Mus musculus: one gene and its partners. The protein of the gene in region 2 interacts with the protein of the main gene of each other region in a biochemical or structural test. Links are inferred from orthologs where the notes say so. Each region holds a gene or a part of one and is shown on either strand. Other genes may lie near its edges. The genes, in order: Dcun1d5, Cul2, Dcun1d4 and Dcun1d3.

The links.
Region 1: of the proteins of Cul2 (region 2) and Dcun1d5, one has a biochemical effect on the other in vitro, tested with the Homo sapiens proteins (2 studies listed by BioGRID, with this or other methods). The link is inferred for Mus musculus from reciprocal best matches to the Homo sapiens genes CUL2 and DCUN1D5.
Region 3: of the proteins of Cul2 (region 2) and Dcun1d4, one has a biochemical effect on the other in vitro, tested with the Homo sapiens proteins (2 studies listed by BioGRID, with this or other methods). The link is inferred for Mus musculus from reciprocal best matches to the Homo sapiens genes CUL2 and DCUN1D4.
Region 4: of the proteins of Cul2 (region 2) and Dcun1d3, one has a biochemical effect on the other in vitro, tested with the Homo sapiens proteins (2 studies listed by BioGRID, with this or other methods). The link is inferred for Mus musculus from reciprocal best matches to the Homo sapiens genes CUL2 and DCUN1D3.

The regions. Positions count from the first base shown.
Region 1 is NC_000075.6:7,181,167-7,189,440, reverse strand, and holds the start of Dcun1d5 (DCN1-like protein 5), read right to left. Parts: upstream 4,937-8,274; 5' UTR 4,645-4,936; coding exon 4,559-4,644; coding exon of another isoform or gene 4,322-4,558; intron 2,674-4,321; coding exon 2,582-2,673; intron 696-2,581; coding exon 625-695; intron 280-624; coding exon 188-279; intron 1-187. UniProt on the Homo sapiens protein: Contributes to the neddylation of all cullins by transferring NEDD8 from N-terminally acetylated NEDD8-conjugating E2s enzyme to different cullin C-terminal domain-RBX complexes which is necessary for the activation of cullin-RING E3 ubiquitin ligases (CRLs).
Region 2 is NC_000084.6:3,422,934-3,430,407, forward strand, and holds part of Cul2 (cullin-2), read left to right. Parts: intron 1-535; coding exon 536-660; intron 661-1,516; coding exon 1,517-1,624; intron 1,625-2,578; coding exon 2,579-2,638; intron 2,639-3,161; coding exon 3,162-3,290; intron 3,291-3,383; coding exon 3,384-3,470; intron 3,471-3,824; coding exon 3,825-3,977; intron 3,978-4,229; coding exon 4,230-4,307; intron 4,308-6,636; coding exon 6,637-6,703; intron 6,704-7,474.
Region 3 is NC_000071.6:73,487,583-73,495,723, reverse strand, and holds the start of Dcun1d4 (DCN1-like protein 4), read right to left. Parts: upstream 4,699-8,141; 5' UTR 4,558-4,698; coding exon 4,533-4,557; intron 4,294-4,532; exon of another isoform or gene 4,190-4,293; intron 4,067-4,189; exon of another isoform or gene 4,048-4,066; intron 3,542-4,047; exon of another isoform or gene 2,648-3,541; intron 1-2,647. UniProt on the Homo sapiens protein: Contributes to the neddylation of all cullins by transferring NEDD8 from N-terminally acetylated NEDD8-conjugating E2s enzyme to different cullin C-terminal domain-RBX complexes which are necessary for the activation of cullin-RING E3 ubiquitin ligases (CRLs).
Region 4 is NC_000073.6:119,855,393-119,862,866, reverse strand, and holds part of Dcun1d3 (DCN1-like protein 3), read left to right. Parts: intron 1-706; exon of another isoform or gene 707-802; intron 803-897; coding exon of another isoform or gene 898-1,078; intron 1,079-2,951; 5' UTR 2,952-3,056; coding exon 3,057-3,487; intron 3,488-4,810; coding exon 4,811-5,294; 3' UTR 5,295-5,973; coding exon of another isoform or gene 5,974-6,280; 3' UTR 6,281-7,474. Other genes in the region: Rexo5 (RNA exonuclease 5), read right to left, coding at 5,974-6,280. UniProt on the Homo sapiens protein: Contributes to the neddylation of all cullins by transferring NEDD8 from N-terminally acetylated NEDD8-conjugating E2s enzyme to different cullin C-terminal domain-RBX complexes and may play a role in the cell cycle progression by regulating the SCF ubiquitin E3 ligase complex, after UV damage.

The DNA of each region.
Region 1 (8,274 bases), on a different chromosome or scaffold from region 2:
GGCAATTAATTATTCAATTGTCAAAATTAGAATATAATTTTTCAAGTCTCCAAACTGATTTTTACAAATCAAACCACTTTGATTATTTTTAAGGTAAAATATTACACTTGAAAATGATGAAGCACAAAATAGCAACAAGATCTTTACAAAAGCCACCAAATTTGTTTTTTAAAAAAAATGTTCTTACTGTAATGAGGTCATTCCCTTTAACCATTCTTCCTTGGTAAAAAATCCCATGCTTTCAGCCTCCAATTTCCATGCTAAAACTAACATAATAATCTGGAAAGAACAGAACATAAGGGATAGGAAAAGTCATCAGAGACAATCATGGCTACAGTCATAATGGAGAACAATTTCAAACAATTATTTCCAACTGTCCACTAAACTCTACAGCTTCTGTATTGTTAACTACAAAACAACTGCCTTAAGACAGTGTTAATGAAGGTAGACCATTACTCTATTACAAACTGTATTTGTATCAAGAAACACCTTGAACTATTTAGGCTGATTTAAAAAAATAAGTAGATGTGAAGAAAAAACTTCATATATTAAAGCCTTAATTTTTAAAATTAATGAAATATTATAATCCGCTTATAGTTCATTCTACTTAGAAATAAAACATACGTTTTCAGGTTCAACACCAATGTCTTCACAAAATTTTTCCATTCCTTCTGGCCCTACAACTTCATCAGGACCTTCAAAGACAAAAAGTAATTTATATATTTTATTACTATTATGAACATAAAATAAACTATTACACTAAAGGCATCCATGAAAATATAATACTTTTACAAATAAGTGAATTTGAGTTTTAGGGCAGCTTTGAAAAGTATAAATATTTGCCAAAATCTTAAAAATCTTTACTCCTTAAATGCTATAATACAATATTAATTAATGATTTCTTTCTTTTTTTTGTTTCTTTTTTTTTTGGGGGGGGTGCAATCTTCTTACTATGTAGCCTTTGCTGGCCTGAAATTTACAGAAATTCATTTGCTTCTGCTTTTGAGTGCTGGGATTAAAAGTGTGAGCTACCACAGCCATTGTATTAAGGAAATATTTTAAAAAGGATTACAAAAAACCTATTCCACTGGTATAATTCAGTAGTTTGCAAAAAGAACAAAAACTGAACCAACATGAACTTACTCATTAACAAAACCAAAAACCTACTGAATAAAGTTTCTGACAATTAATGCTATAAGCACATGAAGGTTGATGTATTGTTTTTCTTTAAACCAGATCACTAAAAGTCAGTGCAATTCCTAAACATTTGCTATCAGATTCCAAAAATAGAGTAATTGTACTGCTTTTAAATCACCTACTCACTGCTTAGAAATCACCTAAAACAAATGTCACGATATGAAATATGACATAAATTTATCACTACAAAAATGTCTTGAAAAAATATTCAAATTCCAACATTGTCCAAAAGACACTTCCTGTGTCTAAATTTCTAGTACTTCCACATATTACCCATATGAGCCTTCACAAGCTATAATTTCCTTGCCTATACACATGCTGTTTACAGTGGTCTCCACAGGAACCACATCTGAAGTCAGGGATCATGCTCTGATTTTTGTTATTATTATGTCCCAAGTATTAGAACAGTGTTGGAGTCACACAAAAGTGTTCCATAAATATTCACCAAATGACTCACTAAATGACAGAAGATAACCTCAAGTGTACTTTCAGTAGAAGTGACAATCAGTTAACATTTGTATAGTCAATGTATCATTTCTAGCATGTTAATCTAAGCTTCAGTTTTCACTCATAAAATGAGGATAACATCTCTTGACAGATGGTTACAGGGAAAATGATATACTTATCACAATCCATGGAACAATGATAGCAATTATTACCTTTACTGTTAAAAATGTTAAGAGTAGAAAATAAATATTTAACTCAATCTTAAAATATCCAGAGAAGTTCTAATAAGAGCTAATACAATCAAGCATTCAAGGGGAAAAGATATATATATATACACACACACATACAAAATGACTATCTTTATGGTATCTAGTAACATTTATAAAGTGAAATAAGATGAAAACCTCTTGATTCGATATAATGTATATGAAAAACTGTCATTTTTAATAATGGGTCAACATTTTAAATAGAGGTCAGAAAAAAAAAAAGAATTCTCTACATTTAATTTGGGTTAGTGGTTGTCTTGGGATACCAGTAATAGCATTTATTTCCCCTGATCTAGAAAGATCACTCTGCTGATCCCAATAGCAAAGTTGTTGCCCCCTTTACATCCTAGTCTAGCCTTCCGTACAGTTAGCTGAAACTTGACAAGATGGCACCACTTAAAACTATAACATGGCTAGTACAAATATAAGACGACTATTACTACGTGTTTTAGCTTTAAGCAAATACTTTTGAGAATAATAATGATAAAAGAAGAAAAAAAATAAAAGTAGGAAAGCAGGTAAGAGAGAAAAAAGTTGTCAGACATGTTCATGGCACTAAATTCTAAGCCTTTAGCCTTGACACTAATCCCAGTACACATAACAGGTCAGCAATAATAAAACACAGCTTTTAAATGGGCATGACTGGTATCTTGCTCCATGAATTTCATTACCTGCATACTCATAAAACCAAGCCAGGCACTTCTTTCTTGAAAAATCTTCCTCTCCACTGATGAGTCTAGCAGGAGGCTGGGATCTGCAATAGCTTAGAAAACACACAAATGCCTAAGACTTACTACGACTCAACGCTTAGTGATAAAGTAGCTTCAACAAGAATTGCTTCCATGTAAATGAGACAAATGGTTTTTAAGTTAGCATTATGAGGAAAGGAGCTATGTATTAGCAATAAGGACCTGTACTCTATGTGTAAGAATTTCTAACCAATGAAATCTAAATGCTTCTTTGCTTGCTACAGGATTCCATAACTAGAAACTAAAATTATTTCCTTAGATTTCAAGATAATAAAGAAGTACATTCTAAGTCTCAACCCAAGACTAGGCTAGACAGCTCTCCCTAGACTGCTCATGCTGGGCTTGCTCTCTACCACTAAGTTACATACCTTATGGAAGGCCTGAAGCCTTACTTCCATTCTGCTACTGATGTGGATTAAAATCCCTGTTATAATTTAGGCTGAATCACCTGAAGTCAAATGATACTGCTCAGCCAGCTGTTTTAACTGACTTAATTTAAATATCTTAGATATGATTCTCCAAGAGCTAATACAGTTAAGAAAAATGTATGCCAAAGGGCATAATGAAAACTCTATTTTATACATCACCCAAAAAATATTACCTAGACTCTTTTGCTAAAACACAACAAGGGGAGAAGAACAAAGCAATCAATTACAAAAAAGATTAGGATGAAGCAAGTCACCTTCATAGTTTAAGCAGTCCATTCTTCACTGCATCTCTCCTTAAAGGGAAATCTCCTTTGTCTAGTGCAGCCTGTCTTTTTTTTTTAATTAGATATTTTCTTCATTTACATTTCAAATGCTATCCCAAAAGTCCCCTATACCCCCCCCCCCCCAGGCCTGCTCCCCAACCCACACACTCCCACTTCTTGGCCCTGGCTTTACCTGTACTAAGGCATATAAAGTTTGTTAGACCAAAGGGCCTCTCTTTCCAGTGATGGCCAACTACGCCATCTTCTGCTACCTATGCAGTTAGAGACATAGGTTCTGGGGGTACTGATTAGTTGATATTGTTGTTCCAGGCTGTCTTGTTGTAATGGTAGTATTTGTCACTTTAAGTGTCGACCATTAATACAAAAACAACTCAAAGTGTATGGGAAGAAGCCCACTTCTCAAAGCTAAATCGCAATGACTTTCTGAGGAATGAATCTGTGATGATTGAGTATATGCCACAAAGCGAGTAAAGGGCTCTAACTTACAGTTCTGCTTTGTTTTCTTTTCCCCTAAGAGAACATGGAGCACAATAGCTTGCTAACGCCTAAAAGGAGGTTGAGAGCTACCAGCGTCTTAATGCCAGAAAACAAAAACCACAAGGGCCTTTTCCAATTAAGTGTACGGAACTGGTACAGGTGAAGTGGAGGCATTGGTGCGTCCAGAAGCCTAGGCTCCAGCGATTTAAAAGGCCTCCTGCTGGGATCGTCCAGGTTAGGCCACTTTAAATGCTAACTCGGGAGACCAATTATAGCAAAGGCTTTCTTTCCATCATTCCCAAGGCAGCTGTCAAAACTCTTCAAGCTCTGCTCCTTTTTTCACACTCTGACATTTAACAATGTGGGGACCAAGCCAATTCTGCTCGATTTAGTGTGACACAAGGACGCCGTGAATCTTGGCAGATCCGCGCTCACTTCTCGGTTGGGAAATTTGATGGAGAATGCATACGTACGGTCGTCTGTTTCCTACCCTCTGGGCACGCAGACAACAAAGTGGGACGAATCTCAGAGCTTGTCCAAGTACGACAGAGAGCACGTACAGGCGAACACGCGGTTCGGTCCCGCGCGGAGCGGAGACTGGGCGCCTCACCGACCGCCTCGCCTGAGAGGGCTCGCCCCTCTCCTCCCGGCTAGCGGCCTGTCCGGCCCCGGGGGAAGGAGAGAGCCAGCGGGGTGGGGACAGGCAGTACCTGGGGATTTTACACTTTTTGAGGCCCGCGTCTTCCGCGACCGCCGCTGCCACTCCGGGAGCTTTTCTCTTCTTCTTCACTGGCATCTTCCGCCTTCCCCGGCAAGGTAGACAGGGCGGCCGGGGAGGGGTATCGCGCTCCGCCGCAGGCCCCGCAGCGCCGGCTCCCGCCTGCCGGGGACCGCAGCGGAGGCCCGAGGCGCGACCCCGCCCCGGGTCTCCTCTTTAGGGGCGGTTCCGGGCAGCGCAGCGCTAAGGCCGGCGGTGTCGCGGCTCGGGCTTTTCCAGGAGCAGCGAACGCCGACAGCGCGGCACCTACAGTAGCAGCGAAGAGCAGGCGGCTTAGCCTGACCCGGAAGCGGATGGCTCTGGACCGGAAGTGACGTAGAAAGGAAGCTCGCAGGGCCTGGAGCGGTCTCTCTACTTTGGGATTTTTTGTCTCTGCAGGTGGAGCCTGAATCTCCGGAGATTTTCTGGCGGGTTTCCAGCGGGAAGTCCTTTCTAGAAATCATAAACGCTCCACAGCTGGCGAGCGAAGTAATCTGGTGAGGAGCCATGCGTGAGTGTGCCCACTCCTGACGTGCAACCGCTCCAGTTTTTTCGGGTGTTCTTGGTGGGCCTGAGATCAACTTCTCGCGCTCCTTGTCCTTTTCTCCCTCATGCTCAGGGTCAGTTTATGGCTTCCTCCTGTGCTGAGGCAACGCCTCCATGTTTTACTTCTGAGGAACTCTCCTCTTGGATAAGAGACTGGGAAACGGACTGACTTATTACAGAGGATTTGGGGAACTGTTCTAATGGGCTGCTCTCAAGAAACAGTAATCACGTCACTTCTAATGGAAATACTGCTTATAAGAAAGGTTTGCTAGGTAAAATTATCTCATAGAAGATTCTTAGTGAATGAAGTCCATGTTTGTAACCCAACTGTGACAGAAGACTGTTTCTTTAAATTCTATCCCTGTGGTTCTGTGACTGCATCGTGGGACCCTAATCTAGTCAAGGAGAAAGAAAAAAACCGGTTGTTGTAATGAGTCCTGGATACATAATATGCCCTGGAATTCACAAGTTTCCTGAGAGAGGACACTTCAATGTTTGGTGCATATAGTTAATGTTTTTTTAACAGTGAACATAATGTTCAAACCTATAACCCATTCGACTCTATTATAAACAATGCACGAAACATTGTTTTTACATGAAAATTATAAAATGTAAGCTCTAAAACAGAACTCCCTACAGGAAGTAGACAACTGAAAGATGAAGGGTTTTTTTTTTGTTTGTTTGTTTTATATATGTATTTATTGTGGGGGCACTTGTGTGCCAGTGCTGGGATGACAACTTGAAAGTTCATTTTCTCCATCAATCTTGTCACTCTTGAGGTGGAACTCAGGTTGTGAGACTTGGGAAGGGACATTATGTCTGTGTACAGAAAAGCACCTAGTTATGTGATTTAATTTTTTCTGCTGCTCGTGATAGTTCTTGATTTTCTATATAGTAAATAATGAGAAGCTATGAGGGTGCTGAGTTCTTTGTTATGTGGTCTAATTTTCTTTGACTAAGTCACAAGAAGGAAAGGAAAGGAAGTAGTATTAAAACAAAAGGGTATTCTGGTTTAGATCCTAAGGTACTCATCAACTTTATGAAGAAAAATCTTAAAAATGCATTTTAGCCGTCTGTTAGTAGAGTGGCACAACATAAACAGATTAAGCACACAAGGCTGAAACAGGTCTATTCATTTGACAGTTTGATGATTTGCATATTTCTTAGGTTTAAGGATTGTAGAATGAAGAAATGGAAAACAGAACTTTTAAAATAGTTATATCTGAATTAATGTAGCCAAAAATAGTCCCAGAGATGTGCTAAGTATATATATATATATATATATATATATATATATATATTCATATTCAGTATAGTTTATATTTTTCCTTACAGCTTTAAAAATAGGACTTTTCTACACTTGTCAAAAATAAGCAAGCACTGGAGGCACAAAAGAATTTATGGGTTGCCCATGTGATTGTTGTACTGAATCCATTTGTTTTCCTTTCCAAAAGTTACTGTTGTTTTTTCAAACACTGTAAGTCAAAATTTTATGAGTTATTTCCATAACCATAAACCCAGAGAATTAGTTGTCAAATCAGGACTTTGTTTTTGACATTTCAAGACAGCACTCAGGAACTAATATTGAAGAGCAATACAGAGATACACACTAGGTAACACCTGCTCCTTGTTCTACTCATCCTATAGCAGTGTACTGGACCACAGCCATTGTATTGGCCTTGTGACTGGATTTCTGTGGGGCAGACTGACATTGAGTGTCATCATCACAATGATACCTATGAAATGATAACAGTGAATCCTGTGCTAGTGGTTAAAGGTTCTTTCCTGAATTGATATATCATTCCTGTTCAAGTCCTGAGACTACCTGAAGTCCCTAGTAAAGAAATGTATTATATAGAACCAAGCAGAGAGCAGCACTGCTGCAATATGATATTTTACTGAATTTTGCTCAAGGTGTTGAGAAAAATGTGTTCATAGAACAGATTTAAAGGGACAATAAGGAAAAAACTCAGGAGTGGTGGTATATGACTTCATTCACCCCAGGTTGGACACCAATGACAGATCAAAGACACAGTTCCACCCAAGTCTAGCTTAATGAGCCAAAGGGTTTATTGAAGTCACTTATAGAACATAGGTGACCGAAAGGACTGTTCCACAGCTGCTTTCCTTGTAGGCAAGAGCCACCTCACCCCAGCAGCGTCGGGTTCCCTATGTAGCCTGGGAGAGGCTTGTGAGTGGTAAATTTCCTGGGCTTCCTGGGGCTTGTAACTCTCACTCTTCCTCAGAGGAGGAAGTGTTTCAATTCAGAGGAAAGAACTACATAATAACTGTTTGCTTCTTAAACTGACAATGTGCCAGATGGAAATTTCCAAGTTCAGTTGTAGTTTCTCACAAGTCTACAATTTCTCACCCTTTCCTCTCAATGGCTTCTAAAACAGCTGTGGAGTCTGTCATCCCAGTTCTTGGGAAGTGAAGAAGGGAGACTGAAGCTTAAAGCCAGCCAATGATACTTTGGGAGACCATGTTGTGTTGCTGTGGGTTTTTTGGTTTTTTTTTTTGTTTGTTTGTTTTTTCTTTCAAGGAGGGAGGAGGAAAGCTAACGAGAAACTTACAAGGCAGGTAATCAGAAGACTTCCAGGGGCTGTGTGCAAGTTGTTCAGGAGCTCCAGGGATGCAGCTTATGGAAGCCATCAACAATGCCATTGAGTAACCTTTGTTCCTGCAAGTGACCTGTCATCCACTATTGGTTCACCAAGATGGAGTTGGTTCTTCAGTCTGTTAATCAGTGCTTTATTTGGGTTTATGGATTGTTGTTCACATCTCTTCCAGAAAAGTTACCCATTAGACTGTCTTAAAAATCAACAAAACAAAACAGGAGACTATTTACTACAACCACTGCCACTATTACCACCAAACACATATTGGCTCACAAATTCTATGAATGAACTATACTAATATAATGCAGGAATAATCAGAGAAATGGTTTGGGAATGACAATTTTAATCATTTTAGTTTTCCTAAAAACATAAATTTTATTTCATTTAAAAACGTATACATTATTTATTTGTCTGCCATGGCATATATGTGGAGATCAGAAGGTAGTGTGGGGGAGTTGGTTCTTTCTAACTTTCCTACTATGTGTGTTCTAGGAATTGAACTCAG
Region 2 (7,474 bases):
TACCCTTGATCTCTAATTGAAAATATTTCTTATAGCTGGATCTGAGGCATTTCCTCAAGGGAGGCTCCTTTCTCTGAGATAACTCCAGCTTGTGTCAAGTTGACAAACAAAACCAGCCAGTACAGATATTCTTGCTCATATTTTTAATTACAATATAATTTCCCATTAGTTTCCAAGTAACTAATAAAGTTGTGAAATGTGTGGATTTGCTTTATCGTCCAGTATAAAATACTTGTACGTTAAGATACTCTGTAGTTACCAGTAGCACACACATGTATAGTAGCACTTGAGTGAAAAAGAAGGGGAAGAATATGAGTATTTTCTTGATTTTCCTCCACCACCACTACATAGAAAGCAGCAACAACATCTGTCTTCTTTTGGGGAGTATGGCACAGCAGCTGGTAAGTGAGTTTGTGTGTTTGGATTCAAGTGGCAGATGGCTTTTATCCGCATACTGTACATTTAAGTTGTACATTTAAAAGCATGTATTACATAATAAGGTTCTTTGGGAAGTTAATAAACTTTTTCCTCTCAGACATGGCAAATATGTACGTCTTACTCCGTGCTGTGTCCAGTGGTTTACCTCATATGATTGAGGAGCTGCAGAAACATATCCATGACGAGGGCCTCAGAGCGACCAGTAACCTTACTCAGGAACATGTGAGTTGCACAGGGGAGCTAGAATGCTTCCTCTTAGGGGGATGTATATAGGGTTTGTGGGTTTTTTTTTTTTTAACTTTGATGGGCTATAAAATAATTTGTCATGAAAAACTAGGGCACCTGTATTCTAATATTTTAAATCTTGAATTTACTGAGCTTTTCTTGGAATTAAAACCATTGATCAGCCTCTTCCTCACAGTACTGATTGCCACGTAGCATTTGTTAACCTTCTGACAGGAAACTATTTGCAGTGTGTACACAATCATGTTGCTTTGTACATGGGGGATTTTTAAAGCCTCCTCTGCCTCTATGCTTGCCGTTCAAAATGCCACAGTGAAATACCCTCACCTTGCCTGACCTTCATTTATCTGAAATGGCCTTTGCTACTTAGTGACCATGTATTTGTTGCTGTTGTTACTAGGCATGTTCATAGTTTATTGCTAGGTTTGCAGATTCCAAGTATTGAGTGACATTGAACAAAAACTTAATTCTACCCAACTAACTCCAGGACCTCATTCTGAGGCACACACAGGCTTTCTCGTCCTTCTCAGAATTCATCCTAGTGTAGTTGGGCCTGGGATTTAGGGATCCCCCTGTGACCCAGCATAGTAGTATGTGTGCCTTTACATGGCAGAGGACCTGTCAGGCTGTTGTTGAATGGCAGTCCCATTTGATAGATAAAGAGAAGTCTTAAACTTTTAAGACCAATGTAACCAGAGATATGGAGTTGGGGATATGGAGGAGTATAAGTATAATTTGAGTATATAAGTATAAAAAAAATAAACTATATTCTTTATTCAAGTTTTGTTCTTGAAAATCTTAAAATGTGAATTTATACTTTGTATTTTGTTTTTAGATGCCAACACTATTTGTGGAATCAGTTTTGGAAGTACATGGTAAATTCGTTCAACTTATCAACACTGTTTTGAATGGTGATCAGCATTTTATGAGTGCTTTAGATAAGGTAACTTTAAAACAAATAACCCATGCATGTGATCTGTACATGGGATTTTCTTTAACCTGTGATGTGGTTTTCAGTTGGGCATCTTTGCTAGGCAGTCAAGTTTGAGAACCTTGAGCACTGAAATGTACATTAAATAACTAGTTTAAATTTGGGAATCTTAAATTTTAAAGTGGTAAAATGAACTTATAGTGTCTTATGTCAGTCTTTCTGAGTTATTAGTGACCTGGTGTGCATAATTCTAATTTTCTTTAGTTCTGGTCCTTTGTTAGAGCCCCGGCAGTGGCAGGACTATATTTCTGTTTAACCTATACCACATTTAGACTGTATTCATTCTTGGTTTGAAAGACACCATGAATTTGAATTGATATTTGACATAAGAAATTGACTCTTGATTTGTGAGATAGTCATCTTCCTGCTAATTTAACAGAACAGAGCTAAGCAGAAGGAATTCTTTTAACTCAGGGTTTCACAAGTTTCTGCCTAACTAATTATGTTGCTTTGGGCTTCTCATAGTACATGAAGATGTTCACCTAATGGTGACAGAAAGTAGCACAGAAAGAAGGAAAAGAAGCCCCACATCCCTGGGCCGCCAATATCCCTTTTAACACATGGCCTTGAGAGTTGCTGGGGATAGCTCAACCTCCAGTACCCATGTCAAAACAATGGTGTGATAGTGTAATCTAGTGCTGGAGAAGGCTGGGATCATGGGGCTTGCTGTCCAGCTAGCTTACACCCTAAGTCTCATGACAGACTCTGAAGATTTTGAAGAACAATAGCTAAGGTAGACCTTGCCTTCATTTATGTTTATACTTCTTTATGTGAACACCTATACATTACATACAGAGATAGAAAGAGAGATAGCTAAACTGTGGGTATTATAGACATAGATCAGATCCACAGCCACCACTTTTGCCTCCTTCTGGTAACTAATCACTGGGCTGTTTTCTCGTTTAGGCCCTTACATCTGTTGTAAATTACAGAGAACCCAAGTCTGTTTGCAAAGCGCCTGAACTGGTAAGTTTAGTTGCTTGAAGGTAATCTCATGTGAAGTTGTAAAGGGAAGTTACTAGAATGGCAAATTAATTTGTGTACTCATTTTCAGAATATGAAAATTGTCCGCATTATATATATATTTAAATTTACGTTCAGAATGCATTAAACAATGTTCCTTTTTTTAACCAAAGGAGAAAATATTTCATAAAGATGATAATCCTGTTAAAAAGGCATGCATACTATTCATTATCTGATTAGGTTTTTTTCTTAGTTCTAGTGTCTTATGTTTTTAAAACTTAGCTGATCACGCATGTTTTACATTCATAATATTAAAGTATAACTTTAGGATGTAACAGCTTTCAACATCTGTTGAGCCACTTTTGCTTTGCTTTTGTCCCATCGATGGTAACCGTTTACCGGCTTGTTTTCATGTTTATGCTCTTACATCTGTTCTAAGTGACAAACCTATGAGGCTTTGTGTTGCCGCCTTTGAAGTGTCTGTCCAAAGGGCCTTTGTAAGATGTATTATTACTTTCTCTTTGAGCTTGCTAAGTACTGTGACAACTTGCTAAAGAAGTCAGCGAAGGGGATGACTGAAAATGAAGTGGAGGACAAGCTCACTAGCTTCATCACAGTTTTCAAGTACATTGATGACAAGGACGTCTTTCAGAAGGTGAGCTGAACAGCATTCAGATCAGAGTTACCAGCTTCACTCTGTTTTGAATTTCAAGTCACAACAAAAGTAACCATTCCCATTTTCCTGCAGTTCTATGCAAGAATGCTAGCAAAACGTCTAATTCACGGGTTGTCTATGTCTATGGATTCTGAAGAAGCCATGATCAATAAATTAAAGGTACCATAAATCTTTAGTGTGATAGATAATATCATAGAAATCTTGTACCAACAGCCAAGTATGCTCATTATATGTAATGACTGTATACTTCAGCAGTCATTGATGTGTATACATACAGCAGGCTGTGTAAGTGGTCAGGCATGAGTGTATTTGTGTACAGTGTTGGGTGTCAGTATGAGATTCAAAGGGGCAGAGGTTTCCAGTGATTTAAGATGATCTTTAAGTTCAGTATTGATAACAAAAAAAAAAAAACAAAAACTACAACTAAAATAAAATAAAACCCTCTGGTCTCCTAATTGATCCCTGGCTGGTCATTCTCAGTTTAGGTTATATTCTTTGCAACTTGTTTTCCAGCAAGCCTGTGGTTATGAGTTTACCAGCAAGCTGCATCGAATGTATACAGACATGAGTGTCAGCGCTGATTTGAACAATAAGTTCAACAATTTCATCAGAAACCAAGACACCGTGATTGACTTGGGGATTAGTTTCCAAATATATGTTCTTCAGGTATGATAGTATTTTTCTTTTTTAGATTTATGAATCATTTTGACAATGTAATATAGAAGGTTAGCAAATGATGCCTGATAACGTCTAGTCAGCTTTTGAGCTGTGGACCACATTTTACAGACTTGGAATAAAATGGGCCATAGCACTGTCAGAATTCCAAGAAAGAGAAAAGGTGTCTCAGCAGCTCACCATTGAAATGGGTTTTTTGGGGTAGATATCTGTTGAACGTTTTATCTCACTGTTCCTTTTTAGGCTGGTGCGTGGCCTCTCACTCAGGCTCCTTCATCTACATTTGCAATTCCCCAAGAGCTAGAGAAAAGTGTACAGATGGTAAGTGTTCTGGGAAGCAAACAGTAAACAAAGGCATGGTAGTGATGCTCTGTGTGTGTGATTGTGTGTGTGTAGTATGTGTGTGTGTGTGTAGTGATGCTCTGTGTGTGTGTAGTGTGTGTGTGTGTAGTGATGCTTTGTGTGTGTGTGTGATGTGTGTGTGTGTGTAGTGATGCTTTGTGTGTGTGTGTGATGTGTGTGTGTGATGTGTGTGTGTGTGTGTGGTGTGTGTGTGTGTGTGTGTGTGTGTGTGTGTGTGTGTGTGTGTGATGTGTGTGTTTCAGTTTGGGGTTTATTTGTAATACACAGGAACCTCATCAGCTCTTAGTAAGCACCTGTAGTTCATAGGATGTGGTATTTTATGTAAGTTTAGGGATAATGGCAATGGATGGCTCAGTTGGGTAATGGCACTTGCTTGGTGAAGCCTGACAAACTGGATTCAATCTTCACACCCCTCGAGATTGATGGAGAGAGTCAGCTCCCATGAGTCGTCCTTTCACGCTCATGTGTGGCCCTAGCATGAACAACATACCACCATTCCAAATACATAGTTAAGTAAATAAATGTGTATTATTTTAGAAAAAAAGAGAAAGCTTCAAATCTTTCTACTTTCCCATTTGAACTTTGAAGCCATTTTTAGGCTTCATTTAGTTCTGGTAATATTTTAATTTTCCTGTAATTGAGACAAGTGTTAGGTATAGACTGAGATATGAAAGCATAATATGTGAAAGCTGCATTTTGAAGTGATTCTAAAGTGGGACAGAAATCCTAGAAGACTAAAGACTGACCTGTCTGAGGTTGTCTGAGAGTCTGCATATGCACATAAATGGGCAAATACATAAATACATTTTTTAAAGTAAAACTAAGTCTGTCACTCACGAAGAAACTTTGGGTTCTACCCCAACACAAATGTAATTAGGACTAATGTCTTTTATACATCCAGTCCAGCCAAGGAATTTTTTTTAATTCCTAAGCTTTGATAAAAATAAATTTTAAGGAAGTTTTTTCAACATTTATTTATTATGTATACAACATTCTGCCTGCCTGTATACTTGCAGGCCAGAAGAGGGCACCAGATCTCATTATAGATGGTTATGAGCCACCATATGGTTGCTAGGAATTGAACTCAGGAACTCAGAAGTCAGATGAGGTTGTGGGATCCCCTGGAACTGGAGTTGTGAGCAATCTATAAGCCATTTCTTATGGGTTCTGTGATCCAAAATGTCATTTGCAATTGGAGTATGCATTGTTAAGTACTGACTCTTTAGACTCTTGTTCATGCAATTATAAAGTTAAATGTACTAATATCAGCAAAAGGGCAGTAGATAGACACCTTGAACCCTAAAACTTTGTTCATGTGATTGTTTACACAATTGTTATATCATAGACCCCACTTTGTATTAACTACACATGTACATGGGCTAGCCTGTCATTTATGGGAAACTACGTGCTGGTAAATGTGAGTATGGTTTTCATGTTGAAACGTATGTGATGGTATATTTGGTCTTTAAACAAAATATATTAATATAAGGTTAATGTATTAATACAGATTAATATTGCCATTGATATTATTTCTGATTTTATACAAAGAAGTAAAATTAGCAGGTGTTGATTTGGGAATGGGATAGGACTGAGGCTCAGAGGCTGAGGTGGGGTGAGGTGACTGCAGCTCAAACATGAGGACTGTGAGGATGTGAGTTTAGATTCTAGTGCCCAGTGCTGTGCACAGTGAAAATGCAAGGACACCAGGGATTCATGACTGGCCAGTATAGCCCAGAGAGCAAGCTCCAGATTCAATGAAGCCCTCTTTCGAAATAATGTAAAGAAATGCTTGAGGATGGCATGCCCGTGTTGTTAACTTTACCCTTTACATACATACACACAAAAATAACATGGAATAAATAACATACTGACATGTCATAGCAACTTAAGCTGTAGAAGAGAAATATTTCAGAGCCGTGTCTGCCCTGCATGGCAGTTGAGTGCCCAAGTTACTCTGCCTGCCCCTTTTTAGTGCTGTTTCCCAGCATAGCCTCAGACTCCTGGATTGAAGTGAGCCTGTGTCAGCTTTGCATGTCTCTGGGACTATGAGTGTGCACTTGGGTAGAGTGCTCTATGTGCAAGAACCAGAGCAAGCAAGCTGCTGCAGACTCAGCAGAGGAACCACAATGGTGCCAGCACACCCACATAGCCGGGGGCTAGTCACGATCTGCACAGAGGTTCTGAACAAGGTTTTCACTAGGTGGGTTAAGATGCTTTTACCTTTACAGTATCATAATAAAGAAGTTTCAGGACCTTCAAATAGCTTGACATCTCTCTCTTTCAACAGTTTGAATTGTTTTATAGCCAGCATTTCAGTGGACGGAAGCTGACATGGTTGCATTATCTCTGTACAGGTAAAGAATGATTCCTTACTGCTCATTGAATGATATTTATGTGATTGTATTCCTTTAGAGTGTTAATTCCTGTGTTAATTCTACTTTTTAATGCACTTTCTTCCATCTCCCTTTCTGGTATCATTAAGGAACTTTATAATGCTGATAATAATATTCACTTTAAGAATTTCTTTGAGTTTTATAATGACAATACATTTTTGCAGCCATTCATTTTATACATAGTAGACAGTTTAGAAAAGCAGACTGATGGGTAAGATATTTTCGAATACCTGTTATCCAAAGTTTCCTTAGCACTGCCTACCGATTTCTAGTTAAAGTCCTCTAAGAATGCCTTCCTTCTTAGTTCCCTGGAGATGGTCAGCCAAAGCAAAAGCACATATTCTTCGTAGGCTTCAGGAAGGGCTGTGGGTGAGCACCCACAGTCCAGCTCACAGCTGGGCTATAACTCCACTTGCAGGGGATCTGACACCCTCTTCAGGCCTACTCAGGGACCAGGCACATATGTCATATAGATATGCATGCAAGCAAAATGCCCACACATGTAAAATTATAAACAACAAAAAAGAAATGACATAAGGAAGTGGATCCTGGTGCTGTGACCTTTATTAAGAACCCTGTTTTTAACCTTTGAAAGGCTGATCTCAGTACCAGTGTCATTTGCTTTGTATGACTGGCTTGCATCTTACATTGTAATTTCTTAGTAGTACTGCATTGATTGTGCAAGTTTATTGAATAAATTGAGTGTTCTGATTTTCTTCCTACATGTGAAAT
Region 3 (8,141 bases), on a different chromosome or scaffold from region 2:
AGCATTTCTCCTTCCTACTGACACAATGTAACCAGCCTCCAGTAGCATTTCTCCTTCCTACTGACACAATGTAACCAGCCTCCAGTAGCATTTCTCCTTCCTACTGACACAATGTAACCAGCCACCAGTAGCATTTCTCCTTCCTACTGATACAATGTAACCAGCCTCCAGTAGCATTTCTCCTTCCTACTGATACAATGTAACCAGCCTCCAGTAGCTTCTTTCCTTCCTACTGATACAATGTAACCAGCCGCCAGTAGCTTCTTTCCTTCCTACTGACACAGTGAAACCAGCTGCCTCCCAATCCTGCACCTCACTCTCAAAGCGTATCCTCTCTGCTCTGCCAGAGTGTATCCTCGAACTGTAAGCCAGAATAAACCCTTTCTTCTTTAAGTTGCTGTGGTCAGCTACTTGATCACAGCAACAAGATAAGTATTGCATACACAGACTCTCCCTTCCACTTCCAAACAGAAAAAGATGGGAAGTATGTAAGGTTCCAACCAAGGTGATTAAAATTACTGCAGCTTCATTAACCAAAGGAACTAAATCAACTAACTAGCTTGGGTTTTCTATTGCCTTGACTAACTACAAAGCTAGGGCCATATACACAGCCTATTTCCAACACATGGAAGTACCCTGGTACAACCTCAAGTCTAAATGTCCCTGGGAATAAACACTTACCAAAGTCACCAGGCTATTAAGTACCAGGTCCTCAACCGACAGACTGCACTTTGCTCCTATGTCAGCAGAATTACTAGCTATTAATTAATAGCTACACTTATAAGGATGACCATGATGATAATTAAGATGAGAGCAATGCAAACATCAAAACAGGAAGAAGGAAGGAAGTTACGGGGAGGAGGGATACCATCAAGCATTAAGTAGGGGCCTTCTCTAAGCCAATGTGGAGAATAAAAAAAAGTCACTGTATACAAATCCCCAATAAGAAGAGGAGAGAGCTTTCGTCTTTGGCAGTTACAGACAAGACTGTGATGACTATACGGTTGTCAACTTGACTACATCTGGAATTAACTAAAACCCCCAAACTGAGTGGCACACTGGGGAGTGATTTTTGCTTAATTTTAAGTGGGAAGATCCACTTCTATTCTGGACCTTTGAGGTGGGAAGACACACCTCTAATTTAGGCCAAGCCTTCTGCTGGAATCCTAATATAAGGACATGGAAGAAGGAAGCTTTTGTTCTTTGCCTGCTTGCTCTTGCCTCAATACCAAGTCCATTCCTTCACTGGCATTAGAGCCTACTTCTTCAGGATTCCAGTACATACCAGCTGAAGCATCTAGCCTGAACAATTACTGGATTCTTGGACCTTCCATACATAAGACAGCCATTGTTGTATTAGCTAGACTACAGCTTATGTATATATGTGTGTATGTATAAGTCCCATGTATGTATGTATGTATGTGTGTATACACATATATACACATACATATGTAAGATTTATATGTATCTATACATATATACATACATATAGAGACAGATTCATTCTATAAGTTGATACTGAGAGGACCTTTATACAACTACCCCTACCAAATCCTTCCAATACAGAGTCAAAAATCTTCAATAAAACTTTCTGAACTATTTAAATGCATAGCTAAATCCACAAGAAAATATAAGACCTAGCCAAGGGCCAAAATGCAAAGGTCGAAAGACGAGTAGTACAGGCTGACAGTGCCTAGGGCTTTGGGGCTTATGGACTAGCTGGAGGACTGTGTGAGGAAGGGCACTTGTTCTTCGGGATGTGATGAGAACAAATGAAAGGAGAAGAAATGCAGACTGATGTTTTCTTTAGATCTTGAAGATCTAAAGAGCACATGCTCCCCCCCACCCCACCCCACCACAATCACTCGGCAACAGCAAATCCTGGATTAAATACTTTGTTGGAAAATGTCCATACTCTATACAAGACAGTTCTTAGAGATTTTACTGCAGGTGTAAGTCAAAACAGGATAGATATAAATTGTTTCCCTAAAACATATTCTCACAAGTTTCTCAGACCTTATTTCAAAAGCCATCCTGTAAGGTCTGGAGAATTAGGAGTGCTTATTGCTCTTGCAGAGGATCTGAGTTCCATTCCTAGCTCTCAGTTGAGTAGCTCACAAGCACCAGTTCTAGGGGACCCTTCATCTGCTCTCCATTGCATCTATATGCATGTACACATACACACACACACACACACACATCTGCTCTCCATTGCATCTATATGCATGTACACATACACACACACACACACACACACACACACATATATATATATATATATATATATACTTAAAATAGTAAAAATAAATTTAAAAAAACATTATCAAACACATAGACAAGTTTAGTACTGTCTTAACTGTGTCAAGTCGTTTCCAAATATTAAAACTCGCCCTCAATATGTTTACCGCTGGGTTATTAAAACACCCCTCCAATAACCATTGCGATTATGGATGTTTCATAGTATCCATTACACCACACAAAAATAATCTTATAGTCCCTACATTTGATTTAGGGTGATCACCAAGGAGAACTGGCAAAGGATGCCCACAAACTAGGAAGACCTGTAATAGTCCAAAGGGAAGGACTTTACAGCCTCATTCGCTTCACTTACATAAAAGTTAAGACATCACAGTTCCCCTTTGCTCACCTTTAGGATTTCATTGCAGGTTCTGGCATGAGACTACTTCAACCCCAAATTCCACTAAGCTGCCATTCTTGATTCGCTTCCAAAAGAAAAATCCCCTAACTCTTGGACAAACCAAGTAGCCCAAGAAATACCCAGTGCAGTTATCTGTATTTTCTTCACAAGGGATATTACGAATCTCTACTTAGTTTCCATACTTATGTAAGGCTATATACTTCACTCTAGACGTCCATACAATGAACACGCTCTAAATGTTCCATGGTAAACGTTGCTTTAAAACGAACGTGTGCAGGATGATTTGAGACTAAGCTTTCGCTCCCCAAGGCAGATGCAGGGGTAAATTATCTTGGAGAAAGGCCAGGGCTTGGCCTGGGCTTTCCCTCTGCGGTGGACACTGTCCCAAGGAACCCAGGCATCTCCCGGGAGAGAATGCATTGAGTCTCCGCGGCATAAAGCACGAGTTAGTCAAGCAAGGAGGGTCCAAGGGGCGCGCTGAATTCTGGGACTCGTTTCCACAGTTACCCACGTGCACCCAATCCAACCGCGGCCCAGGGCGGCTGGGACTACAAGACCCAGAATTCCACGAGACTGCCTTTCCCTTTACACCGGCTCGGGGAGCCAGACCCTAAAGGAAACCCCTAAAGCACCCTCCCGGTGCTTCGGGCGGAGGTAGCTTCTCGCACGCGCGTTGCTATGCCTCCAAAGCGGCCCTCCGTACAAGGTAACAGGTCTTGACGCATCAGCCTCTACACCTGATGGCCAGAAATTAGAGAACTGCGTCACACACTGCCAAACCTACGGACCGCCGGGGACCCCGACAACCTCTTACGCCAATTCCTCCACCCCGCTTCCAGGACCCCTGCGGGTCGAGTCAGCTCGCAGACAGCGGCCTCCCGGTCCTGTAACCCCAGCCCGCGCTGACCTCGCTCCCCGTTGCTCGCCGAACGCGGAGGCTACTGCCAGCCTCGGGACACCTCCCGGGTACCCGGCCCCGCCCCCTCTCCTCAGTGCACCCCGAGGCTCAATGGTGGTCCCCTCCTAGGCTGGAACCGGGCCTCTCCAGGGAGGAGGCGCCTCCCCCAATGGACAGTCCAACGCTCCCCACCCCGCCCCAAGAGCACCGTACCCGAAGATGACAGCCCTCCCAGTCCCCGCTTCTCCCCACCTACTCTTCCTCCTAACTCACTCCGCACACCCTCCCCGACCCCTGTCCCAGCCCCCAAACTGCACAGCAGTCCTATCCGCCATCCACTCCTCCGGGGACCGCCTGTCCCAACACCTGCCCCCCAAGCCCTCTCCCCACTCCCGACCGCCGTCCCGCACACCGGACTCCACAACTCTCCCATCCCACCGCGGCGTCTCCCACTCCATGGCCCCCGTTACATCACCCCCCATCCCCTCACCGGCCCGGCCGCTGCCCCAGCTCCCCACCCATTGTTCCCGCCCCCGCCCCCAGCCCTCCTTCCCATTGTCCCCGCCCCCTCTCCCCTCGCACTCCCCCGCCTTCCCCGGTAGACCGTACGGCTCGGGCCCCGCAAGCCTCACCCTGTACTCGGACCGCAGGCCCTCTCCCTGCCCGCTCGTACCACCCCCGACCCCAGCTGCCAGCGCCCGCCGCCGTCTCCACCTCCGTGCACCACCGACTCTCGGCCCCCGGCCTTCCAGAATGTCCCCCCTCCCCCAACCGCGGAAAGCCAGCCAGTCCCCACCCCCTCCCCGCCGCCCCTGCCCCCGCCCCAGCCGCCCGCAGCGTCACGGCCCTCGGACTCCAGGAGGGGTTCAACCCGCTCCCGGGCCAGGGACTCCAGCGCGATCGGAACCGGAGAAGTGGAGAAGGGAGCGCAGGAGCGGACGCGGTGTGCGGGCCCGCTGGCTCTGTGCTACTCACTGACAGCTGCAGCATCCGAGTGCATTTTCGGGCAGCTCACACCCGCCTGCCGCCCGGGCTCCCGCGCTCCACTCGCGGTCCCCCTACCGACTCCCCAAACCTTAGCTCGCAACAGAGGACCGCCGGCTTCTTCTCCGGCCCGCCCATCCCGCCCTTCTCATTGGCTAGACCCCAGCCGGGGGACCGCCCCTCTTCGGCTCTCATTTGACCGAAGAAGTGCTGGTTGCGCCGCCTGCAGCTGGCAAGGAGGCCCCGCCCCCTAGACTGCAACGTGATTGGCCCCGGCGTCTCGCCTCCGACCGCCCCTGGTGGAGGCCACTGTTCGGAGCCGCAGGTTGGACCCAACGGCTGTCAGTCATTCAGGGGTCCGAAAGCGCGTGGAGGGGCGAGACTGGGGAATTGGTCCACCTTGACCCTGAAGCCCCGCCCTGTGGCGGGCGGATCCTGGAGCGGGAGACCAACCGAGAGCCCAGCCGAGAACCTGGGTTAAGCATCCGAAACAAAGCAGCCTGAGGGACCTAGAGCCAAGCTCCAGCCCACAGGGACTGGTGTTCCCTGGGAGGCCATCGGCCAGATCCCGCTACTGCCCGCGCCCGGGTCCCGCCGGTTCTCCTCAATCGTTTCCCATTGCGGAAAATTAGAAGAAGAAAAATATCTCCGCTTTCCTCCCCTTTATGCCACAACCTTTCTGTCCTCAACTTTGGAAATGCGCCTCTTTTTCAGAGTCAATTATTCAGAGTCATGCGTTACTTGCGCCAAAGGTTTCGAATGCTTCAGGCATTGAACGTCAGACACCTCTGCGGTCCCCAGACAGCGAGAGAAAAACCTAGTGCCACATTAGGCTCTGGGGTCAGCCTGACACCAAGATAAGCCAGGTCCCCTGACTATAAAAGTCTAAGAAACATAAGTCGAACCTGGCCAAACCGCTGTTTAGCAGAGGGAAGCGTTAATGGGGTTGTGATTGTTAAGTGTCCTAAATACTGCTTTTGTTGTTTCTTGGAGTTTTTCAGTACTTGAAAACCAGTTCTCCACAATCACAGGTAATGCAATAACGCTGAGATGTGCGAGGGTGGGCGCCCCGCCCCCACCGCAAACACACACTCCATGTCCAAACCTCGCTTGCCCCAACCACAGCCTGGACAGCCTGTAGATTCCGCCACACGCACTGGATGATATGACCAAAGATAACAAAGGGGTCCTGCGTTAGGATTCTGAATTCTACAGCCCAGGCTCTTGAGTTGTAGAGTTCTGAAATCCGGACAAATGTTACAAGCGCAAAACAGCTTACAGTCCTTGTTATCTACATCACTGTGTTTGTTACTGTGATATGTTCCATCTCATCGCCCTCTATTTCTCTGTAATTAAATTGAATCCCAATAACGCAATCTTTCATATTTGTCATTCAAATGCATATGATTCACTTCATCAAATTGCAAAATATCAGAATTGCATCTGAAGACAAGAACTCTTCATAGAGCATTCTTTTGGGTCTCCTTAACAGGACAGAGTCTTAGCCAAGTCTCATAAACAAAGGAAGGTACTTGTAGGCTCCTGGGTTGGGAGCTTCTATATTTTTTTAAGTGCTTATTCTGGGCAAAGTCTTTTTGTGTTCATTATTCTGTTCCTGATTTCAGCCTAATATAGTAAGAACTACAGTTTATTCGTGTTTCTGAGACTTTCTTATGTATAATATTTGTTGTGTTTGAGTTTTGTTTCCCATATTATTTTGCACAGAAAAGAGGTTTACTTCTTGGTACTTGTAAATTAAAATAAGCCCGTGATTTATATTAGTTATTAATCTGCTATATTGATTTATCTGCAGCAAACTTTATGGTTGTGAGACTATTAAACCTAAAGGACCTGCTGCCAGTTCGCTTTCTCCCTGCTCTCAGCACTTCCTTGACACATAGTATCCAGGAAAAATAAATAAATAAATAAACAGAATTCTAACCTATGCTGGTTCTCAGCTGTTTCCACTAGGTTCAGTCTGACCAGTTTCAAGTAAAATACAGATTTACCCAGATCGGGGTAGGGGGATAGTGTGTAGGTTCCAAATAGTGGCCTCCACCAAGGACAGTCAGAGGCAAGGTGTCAGGGCCAATCACAGTCCGCTAGAGCTAGAGAACTGAGAGGAAGTACTCTTTCTTAGTCGGCTGAGCCTCACTACTGCACAAGTCTCATGAATAATAAAACAACTAAACGATGCTCTGTGAATATCATCCAGACATTTCAACCATCCATAAGAGTATAAATCTTCATGGTCAGGGAACTTGTTATGACTGTTTTCAGTCCCCCGGCACTTAGTGCAGTGCAGTGGCTTCCAACAGTGGACACTGATTCACTGTTCCTAAGAGTGAAGTGGGTGACGACTATTGGGGAATTTTATATCTGAAAGGAACCTCAGAGATTCCAAATCCAACTTCCTCATTATAAGAATATGAGACCGGGAGTTCAAAGGAATTAAGCATCTAATCCAAGTTATCGAACTACCCAAGGACAAAGCAGTATTTAAAAACTCGAGTTTCTGGCTCCTTGTCTACAACTCTCCATCACCACGCTGGTCTAATGAGAAAATCCAAGATTCCTGAGACAGTGCTCTCTCCAACTCCTTAAAAGTTCTACCACACTAATACAAATTCTATTCTTCATATTTGGAATATGGCCTTTTCAAGGAATCATTCAATAAATAATGTTATTTCCATTTTTTTTCTCATTCGATAACTTTCCCAAATAGCAAGGTCCCCCTGTAGAGATGTTTACTGAAATACCATCTTTTATATTTAAATCTGGGGGCAGCGGGTAGTGAATGTCTTGAGACTCAGGGGTGGGCAGATTTGAAGGGATAGCATTGCACTTGGTTATGGTTAAAACATTAACAATACGAACAAGTCACAAAGTGTATTGGGGTTCTCTAGAGTCACAGAACAGGAATGTCTATATTTTAGTGAGAATTATTGGTATGACTTGCAGTCTGCAGCCCAACTAAGCTAACAATGGGCAGCTCTTAATGGAAAGTCCAAGAATCTAATAGTTGTTCAGTCCCACAAGGCTAGGTGTTTCAGCTGGTCTTCTGTATAAGCTGGAATCCTGAAGAAGTTGGTTCCAACTGATGTGCTAGCAAGTAAGTGCACGCAGGCAGAGAGAATAAAAAAGGCTTCCTTCTTCCATTGTCTTTATGTAGGCCTCCAGATTAAAGGTCTCTACCACCATGCCTGAACCTAAGGTTTTCTTTAGTTGGAACTTGCTCTGTCTCGGGCTGATCTTGAACTCACAGATCTGTTTGCATCTGTCTCCTGGGATTAAAAGCATGTACTCCCTTGTCTGGGCCTAAGCTTTTCTCGGCCACTATGTCTCAAGATCCAGACCAAAAGCCTGTGTCTTCCTGCCTCAAGATCTGGATCACAGGCGTGCCCTCCATTTCTGGATATAGTTCATTCCAGATATAGGCAAGCTGACAATCAGGACCAGCCATCACTTGGAGTGTTCAGTGGAGCCTGACTTACCTATTTTGTTAGTTGAGAATTTGATGGAAGTCTAGTGAGAGAGAGACAATAGCACAGGTTTGGGGGTTTAAACATTTCCTCCCAATATCACAAATCACAGTATGTC
Region 4 (7,474 bases), on a different chromosome or scaffold from region 2:
GTATGAGACTTTCTATGTTTTGAGACTGGGTTCACTATGTAGATCAAGTTGGTCTTGAACTCACAGAGATCCGCCTGTCTCTGCTTCCTAAGTGCTGGGATTAAACACATGCATCACTACGCCTGGCCTATTGTTATAATTTTTAAATTATTATTATTGGTGAGTGTGTGTATATGTGTGCACACAGACAGTATGATGTTCTTTGTAGTGGCTGATGGTTAAGATTTGATATTCTAAGGTTGCTGTATCTGTTCCTCACCTCAAGGCCCATTCCTCAGTGTATTGTCCCATGATGCTTTGACAGATGTGGGTTCAGTTATACAGGTCATGGTTTCTTGAACTAAACATTCCAGGTTCTGTTTGTTCTGTGATGTTGCATAAGTTTACTACATGCAGAGCCTCAGTTTTCCTGTCTTTAAATGGGGTTATGGTGAGGAGGGCACGTGTGCTAGTGTTCTTAAAGTGCTTAGTTAGCATAGAGTTTGGCCCTGTATCAAATGCCCAGTAATTGATGGTTGCTGTTGTTAGCTAACAGCCAGTGAGACTTTGAAAGACTGAAGGCTCTGCCAGAAGGGGAAATAAACAAGCAACCAAGGAGCAGTGCCCACTAGCAAAGAACATACTGACTTCTGACTTGAGACCACTGCTCAACCCCACCAGAATGGGAACCTTTTAAAGAAAGGAGCCATGATGGGAGAAAGCTGACCTTCTGTCATTGTGTGATTGATCATCTGTCCACATTGATTTTCCTCTTTCTCATCTGCTGAGCATGTTAAAAGCCTTCAGGTTTCAACTGGTTCCGCTGTATCAGGTCATCAAAAGATGCTTTTACATGGAGGCACAGCAGAGTAAATGAGATTTGGGCCTCTATGGGAGCCCCATCTGTTCTGCTCTTACCTGCAGGCCTTGGCGCCAGGCTTTGGAGGGAGCTGCTGTACAGAAGCATCTGTCCAGTGGGGGTGGGGTGAGCAGCCTGGGTAGGTGGGTCAGATGCAGGGCAGGAAATCCTCTTACCTCACCCGGGTGCTGGGCCTCCTGCAGCAGGATCTGAGCAGCAAACACTGGTGAGTCAGCCAGCCTGGGAATTAGAGTTGCCAGTCTGTGAGCATGTGGGGTTTGTGTAAGTTTGGGCCTTTTGTTTCTTTCAGCAATCCAGTCTTTAGAAACACAAATCTGGAAACCAGACCCTCCACATGCTGCAGTCTTTCTTGTTTAGAGAGAATTCTGCTCGAACAATTCTTCTCCAAGAATTAACCCTTTGCCTTTTGAGATTTGAATTGGTTTCACTTATGGCTTACTACATGCTCAGCGTATAACAGCCTGTGAGAAGCCATGCTTGGGTCTGTCACTTTTCACAGCGAAAGCACTTTTAAGAGTTTCTTTGTGTGTCTTGTTTTGGCTTAAGCAAATTGAAACTGCCTTTCTTTTGAGGGCATGTGTAGACATGTCTTTTGTTTCTGAGGGTGGAGAATAGGACACACCCTTATAGGAGTCTGCCTAACTACAGGAATGATTGTGGTTCTTTTTAGATGACTATACTCTCTGCTTCCTTTTAGAGAGAATTCCCTTTGAAGATAACTCCAGTTTATCCAGGCACTGTTTGGTGGAAGCTGTTTATTTTTTTATTTGTTTTTGTTTATTCAGCTTTTCTTAACAACTGCCCTTTGCCCTATCACCAGACTCTTAAGTGAGCTCTGACTTTGCACCCTGAAGAATCATGAAGGCTCCTTAGAAGTGAGAGGCCCAAGTCTGGCTGACACTGATTTTTATCTAGTGTCTGCTTTCTTTGCTACATTCTACATACTAACAGACAGTGGCTGCTATTGTTCTAACACTTAGCAGAAGTTTGCAAGTATTAAATCATAAATGGATTTTCTATTATAACAAAATAGTTGATGGTTAATAACAACTCATAAGTATGCAGTATTGAAAATTGCTTCTGCTTTTGTTCACACATTTTTAGCAGTTCATATAAAAACTTAGTTAAAATAGATATTGCTCAGTGTCAGTGTAGCCTTTTGATCCAGCAGTTTTATCTCTTAGAGATTGTATTGGGTGTGGAGACACACCTAGGTTGGGAAAGTACCTGGAGTACAGGCTCTATGTAGGTGGGTGGAACAGGGTGGAGCTAGGACGGTACACCTTTGTGCATCCAGAGATCCAGGCACACTGCACTTTGCTGTTTGTCTAGGCCCCTGCTTGTAGTTTTGACACTTCTTACTTCACCATTAGACCATTATGCGATTACAGGTGGCCTGGATATGGCCTCATCTCTATTCTACTAGAATCCAGCTTGACAGAGTACAGGTGAGGGGTTACTGTCAGGAGCATGAGTAACCCTAAAATAGCTACAGCATCTTGTTACTGAAGACTTGATGGAGGTTTCCTCATGGAGTCCTGCTTTCAGTTAATTTTCCACGCGTAGTGCAGGGTCTGTAAGGGGGCGGGGAGGGATGCTTGTGGTGAGGTGAGGTTCCTTTAACTCTCCTTGCTTCCATCCTTTACCATTATCAGAGACTCTGCTACCTCTGTATTGTTCTGCTCAATTAGTTGCCATGGCTACCAGGCCAAGGTCATTTACCCTCTAAGGTGTTCCTTATGTTGTGCTGAGAGTAAAAGTTTGTAGCAATCTTTGTTGAAATCTGAATGTGTAGGTATTAGGTATAGAACCAGATGTAAACTTGTGGCTTAACTCAGGTCCAGATAACTGGTTTTTTGGTCTGTTTTTTTTTTGTTGTTGTTGTTTTGTTTTGTTGTGGTTTTTCGAGACAGGGTTTCTCTGTATAGCTTTGGCTGTCCTGAAACTCACTCTGTAGACCAGACACAAGGGTAAGCATCCCACAGAGCTGACTTACAGGAGAGGTAATGGTGAGCTGGGATAGGGTTCTCTCCCCTGTCTCATTGTTAGCTCAGTGAAATAGAGTGTTAACTATTTTGTAATTTCCTTCCAGGTTGCCTGGCTCCTCTAACTGATGGCATGTTGAAGTACATGGGCCAGTGGCAGCGAGGGCATTTGATCCAGAGGGGTCCACTCTAGAGGCCAGGGTACTACCACCATGGGCCAGTGTGTCACCAAGTGCAAGAATCCTTCATCAACCTTGGGCAGCAAGAATGGAGACCGGGACCCCAGCAACAAGTCACACAGCAGGCGGGGGGCTAGCCACCGTGAGGAACAGGTGCCACCTTGTGGCAAACCAGCTGGGGATATTCTTGTCAATGGGACCAAGAAAGCAGAGGCTGCCACTGAGGCCTGCCAGCTGCCAACTTCTTCTGGAGATGCTGGGAGGGAGTCCAAGACCAATGCTGAGGAGTCTTCTTTGCAGAGGTTGGAAGAACTATTCAGGCGCTACAAGGATGAGCGGGAGGATGCAATTTTGGAGGAAGGCATGGAGCGCTTTTGCAATGACCTATGTGTTGATCCTACAGAATTTCGAGTGCTGCTCTTGGCCTGGAAGTTCCAGGCTGCTACCATGTGCAAATTCACCAGGTTAGTCACAGATGCTTTCATGTCACCAGGGGAGCAGAGGAGGAAAGTGTGACACTGGATAGTGGTACCAACTAGGATAGAACTGGGATGGCTTCAGTTATCAAGTAGCAGTTGCATAATTTGTCAAAGTTATGTATCCATATTGGGGTTGTTTGTTTGTGTATAAGAATATGTCAGGGTCATGGAAGACCATGGTTTTAAGAGTGCAGGGTTATGAATAAGAACTGACTTTATTTTATTTTTTTAAGACAAGGTCTCACTATATAGCCCTAGTGGCCAGGAACTGGATATGTAGAACAAGGTGGCCTCAGACTTCAGGTTCTGCCTCCCTGCCTCTTGAGTGCTGGGATTAAAGGAGTGAATGACTATACCTGGCCTGGCAGAAGGAACTTTAAAACACAGCTAATATATATGACCTGCTCAGTAGAGTAGTTGCCTCACCACCACAGTCCCTGAGATAATTAGTATGAAACTCTGTTACAAACTGCAAAGTGCTGAATACATGTTAAAAAGCACATATGCAGCTGGATGTGGTGATACCTGTCTGTAATCCCAACCCCCAGGAGGCTGAGACATAGGGGTAGAAAATTCAAGGTTAGTATGAGCTACATAGTGAGGTCCTATCTTATAAAACAACAGAAACAAACAAAAACAGTAAAAAAAAATTTTTTACTACAGTTTTGGTAGTAGTATGTAATATGTTAATGTGCATGTATACGTGCATATGTGTCATGCTTTAAATGTGAAGGGGCCAGAAGACAACTTGAGGGATTTGGCTTTCTTTACCATGTATGCTCTTGAGATCAAAATTAGGTTATCATTCTTGGTGGCAAGTATATTTACCTGCTGAGCCATCTTGCCATGCCCCAGAAGGCACAGTTATTGTTGTTGGGTTTTTTCTCCATTTTATTTTATTTTATTTTATTTTATTTTATTTTATGTATATAGGTGTCTTGCCCACATTGTATATTTCTTAGGTGCATGCCTGGTATCCTCAGAGGCAAAATAAAAGTGTGTTAAACCCCTGGAACTGGATTTATAGGCTGCTATGAGTTGCCATGTAGGTTGGGAGAATTAAACTGGGCCCTATCTATCTAGCCACCCATCTAACCACCCACCCACCCATCTATTCTCGAGGCAAGGTCTGACTCTACAGCCTTAGCTGACCTTAGTAGACAAGGCTGGCCTAGAACTCGAGATCCTGTCTCTGCCTTCTGAGGGCTGCAGGTTGGGAGGATTAGTTGCTGTTAACTGTGCTGTCTTGCCTCATCATATACTAAATCACTTTTACTTATTAATCATACCTTTTCCTACCTGTCACAGGAAGGAGTTTTTTGATGGCTGTAAAGCAATAAGTGCAGACAGCATTGATGGGATCTGTGCACGGTTCCCTAGCCTCTTAACAGAAGCCAAACAAGAAGATAAATTCAAGGATCTCTACCGGTTTACATTTCAGTTTGGCCTGGACTCTGAAGAAGGGCAGCGGTCACTGCATCGTGAAATAGCCATTGCCCTATGGAAACTAGTATTTACACAGAACAATCCTCCAGTATTGGACCAGTGGCTAAATTTCCTAACAGAGAACCCTTCGGGAATCAAGGGCATCTCCCGGGACACTTGGAACATGTTTCTTAACTTCACTCAGGTGATTGGCCCCGACCTCAGCAACTACAGTGAAGATGAGGCCTGGCCGAGTCTCTTTGATACCTTTGTGGAGTGGGAAATGGAGAGAAGGAAAAGAGAAGTGGAAGGGAGAGGTACACTCAGCTCAGGGCAAGAGGGCTTGTGTCCAGAAGAGCAGACTTAGCCGCTCTGTTCCAGGAGCAGCACTGAGGATCTGCCTGCTGCCCTGCAGCCAAATGAGGAATTGGACCTTTCTGGAAATTACTGAAGATCCGGATATTTTCTACTTTACACCTTTCTCTGCCTTGTATTTGAAAGGGCTCTAAAATGCTGTATCATGTTTTAGGCACTTTCTTCATTTTTTTTTTTTTTTGTTATTTTGGTTATTTCTTTTTTGGGGGTGGGAAATCCCCCAAAATATTTGAACCTGGCTACATGTTGTGTACCTTTTTTTGAAGCCTTCAGATAGAATAAGCCTGCCATTTCTTGCACAACTTGATAGGATTTGTTTTGTGGGGGAGGGGAGGGTGTAGCCCGGGTTGGGAGTGGGTTGTTAGGTTGAATTAACATTACAAAATGATGCAGTGCCAGACCTCAGTTTTGCATATTATTTTTCAGGGCAGGTCTGTACTGTGTGTAGTGCTGTTTACATGGTTGAATTTAGGTTGTAATAATTATTTTAAAAGATTTACACAGATATGAATATAGCAGTGTTAACTGTTAGCCACATTGCATTAATTTCCAGACAGTTTGGAGCTCTTGGAGAGCCAAGGCCAAGGCCAGTCAAGAGCATTTGCAGTCTGACACCCCACCCCGTCCCTTTAAGCTAATTTATCCAAAGCCCTGTCTCCCTCACTTCTTGCTCATTCCTTCTTTGACCTATTGCATTTCATATTTAACTTACCCATCATCATGCTGTACCTGTCAGTCAAGTGAGCAGTTTTGTTTTGTTTTGTTAGAACACATTGTACTGAAAACCACTTAAGCATTGAATGCAGAGAAAGCAGTGCTACCTCAGTTTTGCTGGAAGTAGACTTCTTTGATAGTTTTCTTTGATGTTTTTGTATTTTCATGTCATAAGTGGAAATACTTCTTTTTCTCCCCTTTTCATTTGCCTTGGAGCCAAAGTTTCCGTTCTGGGTGGTGAGAAAAGTGTGCCTGCCAGCCGACCTGAAAGAAAGCGGTGGCATGGAGCTCTGCTTCAAACTGTTTTTTCTCTAGTTTTGTTGAGTATCATTAGCTTACTTGTCTGGCAAGTGCAGAAGCCTGAGGCTGGCCTGAACTCTGCCAAACAAATTATCCACGTGTATTGAATCATTAAATTGTGTGCCCTCTCCCTCTTTGCTGCGCCCACGTTGTCACTTAACCCCTAGGAATTATTTATTGTCTTTTTGTTAATGTCAAGCTCGGTTGGGGTAACGTGGTGACTGTTTAGGTTTACATGACCCTCTTCTCTTTCCCTTACCCCAGACATGTATATATACATATATAAGATATGTATATATTTTACCTTTATAAAATATATATATATACACATATATGTATCTATATCCCTTTGTTTGTCTGCTAAAACTGGCCATGAAAGAGGGAGCTGCCTTCAATCTGTAGTTTAAGAAGATGCCAGGGAGCATCATAAACGGAGGCTATTGTATATTAATTTAGACTTTTTCACTAAAAAGAACATGAATGAATTTGCTTGCCGAAGGAGGAACCAGTTCTCTAGACTCCATGCTCACTCTACAAGGCCAGCTTTGGTCAAGCTGCCACTGGGGCCTGAAGAGCTGACTCTGTCCTACCTTATTCCACTAAAGTACCATCTTGATAATTTCCCCTTAAAAAATATTCTCAAAAATGTACTGGAAAGTGGGTGGCAGGAGCTTGTACAGTTCAGCTTCCAACATTTCGGAACAGATTTAAAAGGGAATCTTTTAATAAATAAAAGTTACAAAAATATTTATACTCTTGATACAATGAAAAAGTGTCTATTAAATATTTGGAATTTCCTCCCTTGATTAGTCTACCCCAAATCCTGGGTACATGTTTCTCAACCTGGGTAAGAATTGCATGCTTTGAGTTCTTCATGAGTCTTATAGCTCTAGGCACTTATCTTTATAAAAATGATTATTTAAGGAGATGACAGTCATATTTCTTAAAGTCGGTATTGACACAGGGAACATTTTTGTAAGCCTCACAATTGTCCTTCCTTGAGGGATGAGATGATGAATATCAGCCACAGACTTACGATAGTGCTGGAAGGCCCAAGTGGCTGTTGGGCCAGATGTACCCCTTTTTTTTCTAGCCAGAATAAGATGAAATCCTTGAGTAAGAATCCAGGAGCCCAGTAGTTTCTGAGGGCACAGCTAC